2 linked regions of the Lytechinus pictus genome follow. The main gene of each other region encodes a partner of the protein of the gene in region 2 in a complex. Links are inferred from orthologs where the notes say so. Each region holds a gene or a part of one and is shown on either strand. Other genes may lie near its edges. The genes, in order: mediator of RNA polymerase II transcription subunit 20-like and mediator of RNA polymerase II transcription subunit 23-like.

Region 1 (7,993 bases), on a different chromosome or scaffold from region 2:
GTCTGACATTCCATATCTGACCAGAAAAGGGGACCTCGACCGGCTCATTTTAAAAATAAATCGGCTTTTATGAAGACTACACCTGACAGGATCAAATTCATCACTTGAGAGATTAAAAGGGCCATAATTCTTCCGTCAATAAAAACATAGTTCCAAAGTAGTGATATATCTTTCCAATTTGGGAAAAGGAAGTTCAGTAGGTACCCTCCCTAGAATCAGTGTTAGATTGTCAATCATATTCATTCATTTTTGTCAATCAGCAATATAAAATTAAAAAATTGAGCAATGGGTTGGCTCGAATGAATATCTTTGGCCTGGCAGTTGTAATTAGGCCCGTGTGACCCCTGGGGAAGGGAGCTACATAAAAATATGGAACGCTTCACAATTTTGCGTGTCATCCTTGCACAAGGGCCATTCTAATCTTCCTTGCTTTTTATTATTTCATACTTAACAATGTATAAAAAATCGAGTGAGACTTCAAAGATCCTGAAATTTCATGAAATAAAAGACTTTACACAGTCAAGTTCATGTTGATGAAATTCGTTTTCTTTCTACTTTTCATCGATTTGTACTCTTGGTAATCTTCGTGAAAATTGTTACGTTATTGGGATTGTTATCATTATTGTTTACTATGATTATAGTGATATTGATAATGAAATTATAACGTGCACTATCACAATCCTCTCCCTCTTTTCTTCAATATCATACCATAATTATCATCACCGCCTCTCATATTGCAAATGACTGCAGGAACTCAAGTTGCATAGCGCTATCTCTCGTTGATAACGTTATAAAAATCTTATTTCTAAATAATGACTTGTTTGAAATAAGATGAACATCTCTAAAATGAATAGCTAATCCATATCTAATCACTTCTGATCTATCGATTTTAGCACACTTGTTAAATTTTATTTGTTTATTTATTTATTTTATTTATTTTGTTTTATTTATTTTATACTGCAGGGTAGGCCTGTTCAGTTCTTAAAACTGCTTTACAAAGGCGCCCTGCAGTTTAAAATACATGTCAAGATAACTATGAACAACAACAACAAACAACATCAAAAATACAAAATACAAAATATCTAACATCAGAAACAATTAACACCAAAATATAGAGTGGGAAGTGACAATTTAAACATACATAGCATTGTAAATCAAAGGAATATCATTTCGCTCTTTATCAATTCGTATGAAAGGCTTTGCATAATTTTTTTAAAAACTAACAAGGAGGTACAAACTTGTAAATTTGAAGGAAGTGCATTAAATAATTTGGGTCCGACATATGCGAAAGATTTTCTTTTATGTTCAATTCTAGCTTTGGGAAGCTGAAGGGGGCATCGTAAAGAATACCGTGTCCTGTATTTCACGGGCCGTTTACATACTAAAGGTTTTAAATAATTTGGAACTAAATCATTCATTATTTTATATACAAGAACACAATACTGATATTTTATACGCTGATCTACTGATTGCCACTTCAGTGACTGCAACAAAGAAATTTGTGATGTATTATAATCTTTTTTCAAAAGCATTCTGGCATATTTATTTTGAAGTTTTTGTATCTTATCTAAATGTATTTTTGCACTGCTTCCCCAAGATGTAATACAGTAATCAATGTAAGGTAAAACCATAGAAAAGTACAGCTTCTTCATAATATCAAAGGACAGTAAGTGCTTAATCCGCCTTCCACAACCTATATTGCCCGAGATATTTTACAAACGATATTAGTAATATGTTCGCACCAAGTCAAGCCCGGATCGAGCATGACACCTAAGTATTTAATCTTTTTTACATTTTCTAATTGTATGTTTCTGAATTTCACTGACAAATGAGCACCCCTCAACTTTTTCTTTTGACCAAATACCATGGCTTTTGTTTTTTGCGGGTGTAAATGCATATTATTTAAGTCTAGCCAAGTCTAATCCAAAGATGATATAGCGCCATCTGTATAAACATTAAGCAGTAGATAATATTTGTTTCCTTTCATTTAAATCTATCACAAAGGGAATATGGTTTACTAAATTTCACCTTATTTGTTTCATTTTCGCAAGTTAACATTTCATTTCGTTTATTTCCATTTTCAACAATTACAGTTTATTTTGTACATTTTGACATACAAATAACGAAACATATTTCAAGTATCCCAGTACAAAAATTATATTCAATTTCATTACATATCAAGTTGGAAATGGAGGAGGCTGCTAAAAAGCGGAGCTCGTAGAGTGCAGCCTCCTAATAAATATTTTTCTAGTTACATAGCATCATCAAAATAACAACTTGAGCATTAACCAGTTAAATTAAAAAGAAATAGGGGGAAATTAAAATAGAAAAGGAAATAAGAAAAAGAGATATTAAAGGTCTCCAGAATCCAGCATCAACAGGAAAACGAAAGAGATGGAAAAGTGTACGTCACACGATAATCATGTTTGATTAAAAAAATACAAGAGTTTGAGTGATGAAGAGTTAATTCAATGGTTATCTTGGATAATTTTTTAGAACTTATATTTGAAAGAATTTAGGCTTGGTGATTCTTTGATGTTATTATTAATAGTTCCCCAGAGTCTAGGGCCTTCAAAAGTAAAAATTGATTTTGCAAGGATGGTCCGGGGTAGTGGTAAATGGAATTCATCTGATTGACGTGTGGGATATTTGTGAAGAGTTTTGCTAAATGAAGAATTAGATATGGGTGGTAACATATTATTGTTTAACTGATACATGAATTAGTGAATTGTCGGATGATCTAATACTATACATGGTCTACTTATCAGTTCGTCCAACTTCACATAGTCTAAACTCATTTCGTCTACAACCAGTTCGTCTAATTCCCACTTGGTCTAATATCCAATTCGTCTAATTTCCATTTGGGCTAATAACCAGTTGGGCTAATTTCCACTTGGTCTAATATCCAATTCGTCTAATTCCCACTTGGTCTAATATCCAATTCGTCTAATGAGCAGTTGGGCTAAAACCATTTAGTCTAATTTCCAGTTGGTCTAGCACCACTTGGTCTAATTTCCACTTCGGCTAATTTACACTTGGTCTAATTATCATTTTGTCTAATTGCCACATGGTCTAATGACCGTTTGGTCTAATTTCCACTTGGTGTAATTTCCATTTAGTCTAATTTCCACTTGGTCTAATATCCAATTCGTCTAATTCCCACTTAATCTAATAGCCAAATGGTCTAATGACCACTTGGTCTAATCGCCAATTGGTCTAATGACCAGTTGGGCTAATCGTCACTTGGTCTAATTTTCATTTGGTCTAATTCACACTTGGTCTATAATGTCCATTTATTATAATATAGCATCATTCATTATTATTCATTCTATCTAGAATTAGCAAATATGGTACGTAATGGATAAATACCATCCATCAGTTAATACATATCGCCAGGATCCGGAGGGGTAGAGCCGGGGTAGGGCTGGTGGGTGCAAAACCTCACCGTGAAGGACTATCAATGATGAGATAGTCGCTCATCAAAGGAATTATTCTAATCAAATAATTCTTATAATTAGGCCTGTATATCGATTATAAGATGATGAAAATTAAATCATACTCATAATCATTACATCACCGCATGCACATTTACAGAACAATAAGTTGGGGACCTTGTAGCTTATAATGGTCGAATGGCGGGGTTTCATCAGAATAAAATTATTATGAAGAAAGGAACGAAAATATAATGTAATTGATTGTGTGGATACGTATCTGGTAAACATGTTTATGCCTCTTTTAAATCATTGTGATGCACCATTACGGACGATACTTGAACTTGATGGCCTATAGTTATGCAGTTTGGGGGATTCCAAAACTACAAAGCCATTAGATCATGTAATTTTGTATCATGTAAATCTTTAATCTCTTTACAATAGGCCTACATGTACCGGTATATTAATAGTCATCTAAGACGAAGGAGAAGTTGTACACTATGCTGGTTAAGCCTCATCTTAACTACTGTATATGCGTCTTCAGTTTGGGATCCTTACACAACTACAAACATAACAAATCTCGAAAGGGTCCAGAATGCAGCAGCTAGGTTCACCACCAACACTTATGGGCAAGACTCAAGTGTTACTGCTCTGAAGGACTCCTTGGGTTGGATCCCCCTCCAAGAGGAAAGACAGGGTTCCCGAATCACCAGTTCATTCAAGATGATCCATGGTTTAATGGACGTCAACTGCAAGGAATACATCTCTCTGAAGGAAAATCGAGCAAGACGGGGTCATGATCAACAATTCTACATCAAACATGTCAGAACAGATACACATGCAAACTAATTTTTTTCCGAGGACTGTCAAAGACTGGAACCATCTCCCCTCCTCAGTTATATCCCAACCATCCTTAGGAACCTTTAAGCCAGCACTCCAAAAAACCTTGAAAACCGGAACCTTAAGTTGGTGACCGTACACGACACACCTCCAGTTTAAACACCTTTATGGCGTCTTTTGGAGGATTCCTACCAAGTACCAAGTATATGATCTATGTATGCAATACCAGTACTTAGCGTCTTATTAGCAGGTTACCCTTCTCAGTTTGTGTGTACATGTGTGTGTTTTTAGGGAGGGGCAGTACGGGCCTGGGAACCACAAAAAAAAGAAAAAGGTTTCACTACAAAACCCTAAAAAATAACCCAAATAAGGTCTCGTTATGGTCCCAAGAAATTTGACAAGCAAAAAAAAAAAGAAAAAGAAAAAGAAAAAAAAAGGGGGGGGGGGTCACTAAAAATAGGTCCTTTAGGTTGAATTCACAAATTTTCCACATTTACTAGAATTCCAGGGGGTGCTGCATTTAGGAATTAGATAGTTTTCGCATTTATAACGGGGAAACTCTCTACAACGCATAGATTCCTTTGAAAATGCAATTAAAATCACAATGGAGAGCTTCTATATAGGCATTTGTGGAAAGTTGGTGGACTGGGACATGACAGCAGATATGCCGATCATCCGAAGATTTGCGCACCGGACCAACAATTGCAAATTTGTCGTTGATAAGATATTTCGGCGCGCTTCCAAAATACAAAAGGAGAAAAGCTGTTTTGTCATAATGGGAGTAACGTGGTATGTTTTTTGTTGTTGCAATCTTAATAGTTCAAATGAGCCATTGATATTGGGCATGCCTGATATTGCTTTCAACTATCATTTTCACTTTATGAAAGAATTGTGATTAGACCTATCACCTGTAGATGCCCAAGCGGCAAGGACAGGTAGGCCTAGTCGATCGTACGACGTATATTTTGGGTCAGTGTCGCTAAACTAACTTACATGTGCCCATATACTGAATTTCGTGATGTGTGACTGTTAGTGTTGGCGTTGACAGAGCTGAGACTGTCATAGACAGCTGGCAGCCGTCTGTTTCGAGGAGTTTTTTAACTTTTTTTTGTTTGGTGAGTGAAGCCAACGGAGTTCAGCTGAACAACCAACATAACAGAGACCGAAGCTTTAAAGTTTTGGTCTAAGACTGTCACTGCATGTGTCATAGAAGCCATAGAAGTCGTGTGTTGTGGACACCAGAAGTGAGATCCTCGCACTCGCGACCCACTAGTCAGAAATCCACTGCCAAACGCGGTTCATGGTGCGAGGTACTAACCTCGCAATATGTGTGAGTGTCACTGTGTCAGTGTCGCTTTACTTGCTGCATGGTTTTCTTGTGACATCTTCATTAAATTTTAGTGATAGTTATCGTACATCAAGATTTCTTTAATTTTTCAGAGCAATTATGGCCTTATCCTGAAATAAGTCGCCTCTATTCTCGTATGTGTGCGCAGGTTGTGTACAATTTCTACGAAGGTCGAAGTAAAACTCAAGACAAAGTCAAGACAATTGGAGATGAAACTTAAAAGAAGTCACCGCCATTGACGAAATGAACGGCAGTGAATGGAGTGGACTGGTGACTTAAACCAGGATAATGCCGCAATTATCTTATTCATTGGCCAATAATAAGCTTTATCGTGAAAATTTTCAGGCTCTCTTCTCGACCTCGTGTGTCGGTGTGTGTGCACTCGTTGTGCACAAAGACAATGGGAGTGGAATGAAGTCGCCAGCGCTGACGAAATAAATGGCAGTGAATCATGGACTGGTGACTTAAACCAGGATAATGTCATGGAAGTCTATAATATTTTGATTACATCTAGACCTCATTGTTTCAAAATTTGATGTCAAAACTGGTGATTTAATTCTATTCCAAACTGGCTTCAAGACTCTTGACTTTTAATCAACTCATTCATCATGTTCATTGTTTAATATAAATCCTTTGGCTTTGTCACTTTTATCTCCATGTAAGCACGACTTTAATCTAAGCCCATAATTCATTTCAATTTAGAATTTTCTCTTCAATAGAATAATTTATTAATTATTGTACCAAGTAAAATAATGTGCTATCTTCTTGACCATTTTTCTTGGCTTTTTTTTAGAAAACAATGACAATGTTTTTGCCTCTTTCCATCACTTTAAAAAGAAAAAGAAATGCCCTTTAGAATAAATTTTGTGTAATTTTCAAAGACAGTGTATGACATTTTTTCTTCCTCTACATGTGCTAGTTTGGTAATGAATCAATCGATCAATGACTAATATCATAGTGGTGTTGTGGCTCAGTGAATAAGCCTCCGGACTTGGACCCACAAGGTCTGGGGTTCGAATCCCACGGCAGGACTCTCGTCCTTTGGCAAGGCGTTACGTACATTTGCATCTTTCCAACCAGGTGTATAGCAGTGTATCCTATTGCCAGACACCTTTATTTCAGTGCTTTAAACATGACAACTAGAGGAAATACAATCAGGAAAAATTTGCACTTGCTTTTCCAAATATGGAAATTATGAATATGTTAAAATTATTTTATATTTACCAACCGTTTTCTTTGCATCGCACTTACCGCATACCCCTCCACGAAAAACAATTTTTGTGCGTTACAAATTACATCATATTCCGGAAACGCGCTGATGGGTAAAGATATTCTTGATTATAATGATGTAAGAAAGAATTGGTGTGAATTTTTCTTCATATATCATATCATTAGTAAATTCTTATTTGTTCGCTTTTTTATATTGAATCTCAGCAGATGTTAGTAAACAATACGTGTTTGCTAACTAATTTTATTTTGTTGTCTTTTTAACTGCATGTTCCATGCCCCCATGGCACTTTCCAATGTTATGCTCGTTCTTATCGTGACGCTCATCAAGTTCTATTGATGCGCTGATGATTGTCGACGGCTCTTATCATGGTAAACCTCGCTCACGGGTACCTTGAGAACTAGCCGTCGACGATCACCCACAATGTATACATGCCACACCTCAACATTCGATCGAAGGAGCGGACGTGATTGAAATTCGGCAATTCAGGCCCATATTACCATCAGAAAATCTATCAATTGTTAATGCAAAACTATGTCATATGATATTTTAAGCATTTTCTCTCATTTTAGAGTTAAATACCGGTAAGGTAAAAGCTGGATATATTCGCCTTGTTTTTGCAATCTTGTTCTATGTATTCTGTGAAATTGAACTGCGGAAGTCCTAGGTACAAAGTTGTTTTCATATGCACTAATATGCACGTCCAGAATCATGAAAGTGTCCAGTAATACGATACATGACTATAGTACGTGGGTAGGTAGTAGAAAGAAATTCCTTGAATGCTTGAGCGCTTGATACGAGTAGCCGTGCTAATTCGGGTAATAGTATAACAAACTTAGAAACATTGTATTATTAAGTGCTAGAAATGTTGCATAGATTATTATTATTGTGAATTTTAAGAAAGTTTGTACAGTAGTAGACTATTTACAGAATCCTGAGGTCATTGTGGTTTCCTAAAAGGACAAGTCCACCCCAACAAAAAGTTGATTTGAATAAAAAGAGACAAATCTAACAAGTATAACACTGAAAATGTCATCAAAATCGGATGTAAAATTAGAAAGTTATGACATTTTGAACTTCCTCATTTGCATACTGACCAGGATGATATGTGCATACAACTGTTTTGTGAAATTAAGCAAAACTTAA
Region 2 (7,996 bases):
AATGTCGTTAGGCTGTTTGGCCTGTATTCAAGGCGTTCTATCCGTTATGATTTTATATTGAATGAAGCTAATTCCATCAGGTATAGGCCCCTATCAAGTCAAAATCGATACAGGGATCGAGAGGGGGGGGGGGTGGAGCCAAAAATTTCCCAGTCACATGGTATGAAAATAATATTTTTTATGATTGTCCACGATCATTAGGGCAAACCCGTGTGTGGCAGTACGGTAGCGTGATGAGTAAAAAAAATAAAAAATAAAAGAAAGAAAGAGGGCCAATGTAGGCATACATGGCGCGTGGGAATAAAGTTGCTTTATATGTTCCAAGCGAGTGAAGCAAGCGAGAAAAAAACTTTTCGTGCAAATCTAAATTTGAGATAGATATCTTAACTTACACTTTTCCTTTTCTTTTCATTAATTCCCTTAATTTCTTTTTTATCTTGGTTGTAGAACTTTCGGGGGCCCCTAGGCCTAACCCTTCCATCGTGTACCCCCAGTGCAATATCAGCAGGTGGGTCTCGATAACTCTGGATATTTAGCAATTAGACCTATTTATAGAAAAACATAACGTTAATGTTTTGACCCCTTCCCCCCAAAAAAAGGAAAAACAATTATAAACTAAGTTATATACATCCCCCTTTTCTCATTTCGCTTTTTATTTTCTCTATTCCCTCCTTATTTTTTTTTGGGGGGAGGGACCTTTTCGGGGGGCACCGCCCCTAGCTACGCGCCTACCAGATGAAGAGGCGAGCGAGCAAAACCTTTGTCACTTTTATTACAAATATCAATTTTGCAATAGATTTTGACATAACATTCGGAATTATTCTCGCATGCATTTTTCTTTCCTTTTGCTTTTTTATGGCCTTTTATTTCTCTTCCCTTTCTCTTTCTGTCTTTCTTTCTTTCTTTCTTTCTTTCTTTTCCTTCCTTCATTCCTTTTCTCTTATCCCGTTTTTTTTTGGTGAAATCCAAAGTAAAATTTGACAACTCCCAAAAAAGATTCTTACTAAAAAAAAAAAACCGGTCATTATATTGTCTTGCGTAAAGTTTGACAAGTTAAAAAAAAATGGTCACTCAAAATGAAAGTCATTTTGTCCGCGTAATATTCGGCAAGCCCCCCCCCCCCCCCACAAAAATAAGAAAAAAAAAAAAAAAAAGGTTTTAACTATAGCAATGATCGAAGGTCATTTTGTCTCGCGTAAAATTTGACAATTTTTTTATAAAGTTGTCACTAAAAAGAAGGTCATTTTTTCCACCATTGATTATATTTGGCAAGCCCCCAACCCCCACCCCCATAAAAAAAAGTTTGTCCCTAAAAGTGATGTATAGAAAGTCATATTGTTAATTTGTTCCCAGTAAAATTTTGAATTTGGCAATTAAAAAAAAAGGCAAAAAAGAGAAAAGAATATGAACGAAATATCCCCATTACAAATAATGCTGTACGTGATTCTCATGAGGGGGGGGGGGGGGCACCCCATAACTAGTATTAATAACATATTTAATTCCAAAATGTTTACTATAAATCTCAAAAGGGGGAACGGGCAGAAATGCTCACCCCCCCCCTCCCCCCCCCCGCCACTGATTCCAATCAATAATGACTTTTCTCTGCAATACTGATGCTTTGAAATCAAGATACTGAAGATTGATACGCTTAACATAAATTATGAACGTCTGACAAAAAGATATCCAACCGATCACCTGACCGATCAGCTGACCAGTACGCGTATCACTTCGGAGTTGATCACTCGTCGCAGCTGTGTGGAATGCTCACCGAAAATCAACAAAAAGGGCCTGAAATGTAAGTTTAACAATAATCGATTTTAATTTCAACTATTTTTACAACTAAATAAAGGTTTGCCGTCCGAATGAAAGGTATATCGGATAACTCTAACTTGTATTAAGGTGTACATTTACCAAAGTCTTGGGTTGGAAATCAGAACAGCATTGTCCAACCCATAATTTGGGTAATGTCGCCTATGAGGTCCATACATCTTAATGTTTGGACCTCATTGGTATGGTTGGAACTACCCCTTATCGACCACCTAATCTTCTAAGCATCATATCTGCGAAAATATTCATCAATTTTACCCAGTTTTCGTCTCATTTGTGCAGAAAATTGAGCAGATCAGATTCCCATGTTTCGCTCGGCGACTCCGATTCAATTTGCGTATATATCGACGATCAACGAATGCGACGATTTTCCATTTGCTCATTTGCACCCGTCTTTTGAAACCGACCACCCGCGGTACACTAAGTTTACGGCCGATTCTTGTCGCGGTGGCGAAATATTTTTACTCTTTCAAATCAGTTCTATGAGTGACGTCAACATGCTAAATGATCGCCTCACTACTTCCACTGCGAGCTCCGACGCATGATTCGACGATTGACGACGGATATTTGTTCTAAAGCCGTTTCCTATCGGATTTCTTGGTTTTTCAGCGGGTTTTGGGTTTGGTCAATACAATTTTGATTAATTCTACTAAATCTTTACTGTTTGTTGCTTCTTTTTTTCTCGTAAAATCGATTCTTACCGTTTCTATGGACACTGCGCCTACTCTCCCGCGCGTATCGTTTGTAATACGCAATAATTTTAACGCGCGCAAGGTGGTCGGTTTCAAAAGAGGTGGTCTTACCATACTAGGAGTGGCTATAATCAACTTCATACAAATGAGAACTTAACACAAATCTCACGCGAGAACGATCCGAGAGCTTTGCATTGCTTGAGCGCACAGATTAGACTTGCCCGCGAGCCGTTCCTTTCGTATTTTTGTGGATTTTGGCGGAGCAGTGGTGTAAATAAAAAATACGCGGCCCGGGTGGGGGGTGGACACTCATACAAAACAAGCAACTCGAATTTTCAATGCACGATTTTGAATGAATGGGACTAAGAAAGGAGTTGAACTTGAAAAAGTTTCATTTTTTATTTAAAGATAAAAAGTACAGACCACATACCGGTACCGTAAGGTACGTGAATCTATGTTACGCCTCAGTAATAAGAAATTACAAATTGTTGGAACTCACATGAACAAAAGTAAAAAGAATCTGGGCTGGAAAAGTCGGAAAACAAAGACGCTTTTCGCCACTGCACTGCCAGCGCCACCGTTGAACTTCGCCTCATAAACATACACAGAATTGAATTACTATAGCGCCATCTTCGTTGGATCCGAGCTCGGGCCGTTTGATCTTGTTAAATTATAATTAGAGGTGAGGTGAGAATTACAAAATTATACCATTTAATAACCCCTTTTGAATATCCTATTCATCATATTTTTTTTTCCAACTCATACATGTCATATGGCTATTTGTACTCTCGAAAATCCATATCCCGTTTTATTCCAGATGAGGTGGGAGTGGAGTGGCCCAATTTTACAGCCCCACACATGCTTTTTCATGTTGTTATAATTATCTAAGTTTTAACTCTTGGTCTTAAGTTATTCTAAGTTATCTAACGTTAGTTAGGTCCTGGCCACTCATCCTACGAACGAGGTTATAATAATGGCGCTGGCCTACTCTCACTAACTTTAGTGTCTCACTCACACGTATTGCGAGGTTAGTAAGTATACTAATTTATAATTACTATTTCTAACCTCGGCCTCGCACTGTCTGTGAACATGGTGAACATGTCTACGAAGTACGAGACTACGGCTACGCAAACCAAGCATGCCAAGAGTTGTCTGTTAACATAGCTTCATATAACGCGAATAATTGTTAGCCGAAACTAATTCCGCTAGATATCACCAGGGGCCTGTTGCATTGAAAGGGTCTTTCGTAGAACCATTCTACGTAAGAACGAGATATCGCTCAACTGTTTCACAAAGGCGATTTGGGCGATACAAAGAATGGTCCTTGGAAAGACACCTCCAGACCACTCACACATATTGCGAGATTCAATTCAATTCAATTCAATCATGGTTTATTTCGTATAAAAACAATACATGTTACACAGCCAGAAGGCTGAAGTTAGCATGTTTACAATAAAATGTTCACAAGTCATGGATAAAAGCAACAATTACAATTTAAACATGTACTGTAATGTACATAAATAATAAATAATTTTTAAAGAGCAAGTGTACATAAAAATTCATTAAATATAATAAAATAGAATGGTAAAGAAACTATGTAAATACAATATTAAAAGTGATGAATATTAGACAATTAAAAATTCAAATATCAATTGGATTGAAATGGAGACTAAAACAATGGCAAAGATTTAAGTTGACTTCAAGGGTATGAAAGTAGAAATTTATTTAGAATTTAGTAAATCAATGAAATAAGGTATTGCACTTTTTCTAAAACGATCTGTTTTGCATTTTATCTGAGCAAAGTTTGGAACACTTCTTAATGAGATTGAGATATTTTTTCTTTTTGGTAGCCAGTTGTTACAGTGAGGGTTTTTTAAAAGAGATTTAGCAAATTCCATACACAGTTTTTTTCGTCTTCTTTCAAGACATTCTAATCCACATTTTGTTAGTGCATCTTCATAGTCTATATAATCTGAGCCAAGAATTATTTTGCAAACTCTTTTTTTGTATTTTTTCTAAGTCTTTTACCTGTTTAGCAGTTAGTGCTCCGTTGAATACCGGTACACAATACTCCAATATTGGACGAATATATCCAATGTAAATTTGAACAAGGTCTGACATAGGGAGTTTATATTGTTTGACAAGTCTGAACATATACAATTTTTTGTTACACCTTTTTATAATATCTGAAATTTGTTTATCCCATTTTAAGTTTGACTGAATATAGACACCAAGTATTTTAACAGTTTCTGAATATTGCAGAGAAGTGTCACCAATATGCAATAGATTAGGTAATGGTGGATTTTTAGAAAAAGTAACTCTGATTACATTGCATTTATTCGGATTTAGTTTCATATGATTATCAGATGACCAGGTAACGAGTGCATTGAGATGACATTGTAATACAGAAGGAGTTTGTATTGAACGATTTTCAACTATAGTAAGATCGTCAACATATTTAAAGTGCGGTAAAGATTCATTCTGACATGCATCATTAAACATGATCAAAAATAATATCGGGCCTAATTTTGTGCCTTGAGGCACTCCAGCATGATTTTTAATATACGACGACAATACACCCTGATATTTAACAGATTGAAAACGATTTTCTAAAAAACTAACTATCCACTCAATTATGCAAGGTCTTACGTTAAATTCAATTAATTTTCGAATCAGAATATTATGGTCAAGTCTATCGAAGGCTTTGGAAAAGTCTGTGCAAACAATAGTGGATATTGATTTAGATTTTTCACAGTTGTCCAATACACAATGCAATAATTTTACCAAATAATGGGTAGTTGACAGACCTTGTCTGTTTCCGTATTGATGAATGTCAATATATTTAGAAATATCTTCCAATAACCATTTCGTAATGAATGATTCTGCAATTTTAGCGAATTGACATGTAAGAGATATAGGTCGAAGTTCTTTAATATTCGGTGGTTTTGACTTGGGAATGGGAACAACCTGACTTCGCTTCCACTGCCAAGGTACTAACCCTTGTTGAAATGATGTATTAAGGATATTGGCAAGAGGATGGCTTAGTTCACAAGCGAATTCACGAATTACACGAGGGGGTAAGTCATCTGTTACACCTGCTTTACTGCATTTTATTTTCTTTAGCATAGAATAAACCTGATAAGGTTGTACTTCTGGGCAAACACAAGGAGAAGGTAAAAAAGCTGGTAAGCAACTTCTATCCAACGGCGCCAAATCTGATGCTATATTAATTAAATGTTTATTAATGGTATCAGCAGTCTTCTCTTGACGATCTTTATCATTAGGTTCAACACCAGGTACAGCAATTACGTTAGATGTGTTGTTCTTTTTTGTAATAATCTTGATTTGTTTATACCAGTCTGCTGGATTTGTTGATTTAAGATGAGATACACGTGTGTTATAATAACGTTTTTTTGCACTTTTTATCATTCTATTTACTTTATTTCTGAGACTACGCCACAGAGGTTTGTTATTCTTCTCAAAAGCTTTTTCTCTTTCAATTATGATTGCTTTTATCTGTGGTGTCATCCAAGGTTTGTCATTATCCAAAGTTGCTGATGAGTTGCTATAATATGGAATGTGTGTACCAAGATATTTCAAATGTTTGATTTTTCCCTTCAATAATGAAACTTGTGTAAGTATACTGCAGCTAACATACACAGTTCCAGTGCAGGTAGAATAGTATACTAACATGTCCTACGTAGGCATGATCTTCTTTGCACACCGCCCGCCACCGTCGGCATTGAGAGAAAATGCGTTTACGGCAAGCCACACTGACATCACCTTTAAACATTTTTTGGTTTGTTTTTTTAGAGCAACACTCTAACCCACACGTGAGCAGCACGCTGGCCATTTGCAGTCTACTGCCCTGCCGGTGCAAACTTCAGAAGGTTCAAGAAGGTTCATTGATTCATTTTATCTGGGATGGTGCCAAGTTATTTTTTATTGGGGGCTAGTTGTCATCAATTTCAGGTCGTCTTTTTGCATGGCAAGACGACCGAAAACGGATGTCATTTTAACTTCTTCGGGGTATTATGTCCGGGGGTAATGTAGGCCCAAATATTTTTTTTGAATATGTTTTCTTTTATTCTCCCCTGTCCTATCCCCACACCATTTCCATTAATTTTTTTTTTGAAATATCGAAATGGGCGGCACTATCTCTCTGACCCCTCATGCTGTCTCTTTATCTATTAAACAACATGAAAATAAATTTCTTTAAAAGAAATTAGGGCCTATATAAGGTAAAAAACGTGTTTATAGCGTTCAGCAAAAAAAAACACGATACAAAACTAAAATGTTAATGGTAAATCATTTATTCATTTTTATTTCATTTCCATTATAATTATTATTTTTTTGCTGAGATTAATTTTAATCAATGAAAATTAATTGTCGGATTTGGGCTAACTTGGGATGTGAAACAGTGAAACAAAACAAAAAATCTGCAGTAACAAAATAGCTAATTGAATTTAAGACACAGATTAGGCCTATAGCTTACGAATCCATCGCAATCATTACAAATGAAGATAAGTTCATTAAAGAAAAGATTATGGAAAGTAGGGGAGACCGGGGTTAGTTGGAACATTTTGGACAAAAATGGCTGTAAAATCCAAATAGGCCTAGACTTTATTTGAGAAACAATCAATATATCAGCTTGAAGCATATATCTAAGGGCTTCAAATGTACCCCATAAAATTTTTAAATCTATGATGGTTACTGAAAAAAAATCCACCTTGAAAAAGACTATCGCAAGCGTTCCAACTTACCCTACATCGGGGTAAGTTGGAACATGGTATGGGGTAAGTTGGAACACTGCATGGTCAATTAAGAATTATACTTAAACTACTTACAACCGTAATATTACATGGTTTCAGCATATTTGCTTTATTTTTTTCAAGTTCAAAATATTAAAAGTGGATTTGTTGAACTTTATGTTTTCTATTATACAGCCACTCATGCCAGCCAACTGTGTAGTAGATTTCCGCTTATTTGTGTGCGTTTGATTTTACATGCAATTAAGTGTACTATCAGCAATTTCTTGTACTTCTGCATCAAAGTTACTTGACAAAAATTAACTGTTTATATTATTTATTAATTAATTATGCAAATAAGCATATGAAATTTGCCCTATTAAAATTTTGTATGTTTTTGCCTTTAAATCAATTCATTAAGCTAGTAGAATGCTAATTTTTGGTGAGAGTATCAATCTTTACCTTTATAACAAATATCCACAAAAACTTGCAAAAAATATAATTTTTTATGTATTTTTTATTTTTTAAACTTGTATTTCTTTGTTTTTTCGAACCTTTGTTTTTTCCGATGAACTTTGTCGGGGACTCTTTTGCGATCATTAATAGCATAAAATAAATCCATTTGAACCAACAAAAATAAAAATAGTCATACATTTATGATTTTTGATTGAAAAACACAATTTGCATTGACCTTGTACACGGAATCACATTTTTGAGCAATTTTGGGTC

Evidence for each region.
Region 1: mediator of RNA polymerase II transcription subunit 23-like (region 2) and mediator of RNA polymerase II transcription subunit 20-like share a complex: the UniProt entries of both Drosophila melanogaster proteins name them as parts of the mediator complex. The link is inferred for Lytechinus pictus from reciprocal best matches to the Drosophila melanogaster genes MED23 and MED20.

What each region holds. Positions count from the first base shown.
Region 1 is NC_087247.1:67,256,295-67,264,287, reverse strand, and holds the start of mediator of RNA polymerase II transcription subunit 20-like, read left to right. Parts: upstream 1-4,901; 5' UTR 4,902-4,923; coding exon 4,924-5,060; exon of another isoform or gene 5,061-5,470; coding exon of another isoform or gene 5,471-5,601; intron 5,602-7,993. UniProt on the Drosophila melanogaster protein: Component of the Mediator complex, a coactivator involved in the regulated transcription of nearly all RNA polymerase II-dependent genes.
Region 2 is NC_087261.1:120,869-128,864, reverse strand, and holds the start of mediator of RNA polymerase II transcription subunit 23-like, read right to left. Parts: upstream 3,114-7,996; 5' UTR 3,019-3,113; intron 1-3,018. UniProt on the Drosophila melanogaster protein: Component of the Mediator complex, a coactivator involved in the regulated transcription of nearly all RNA polymerase II-dependent genes.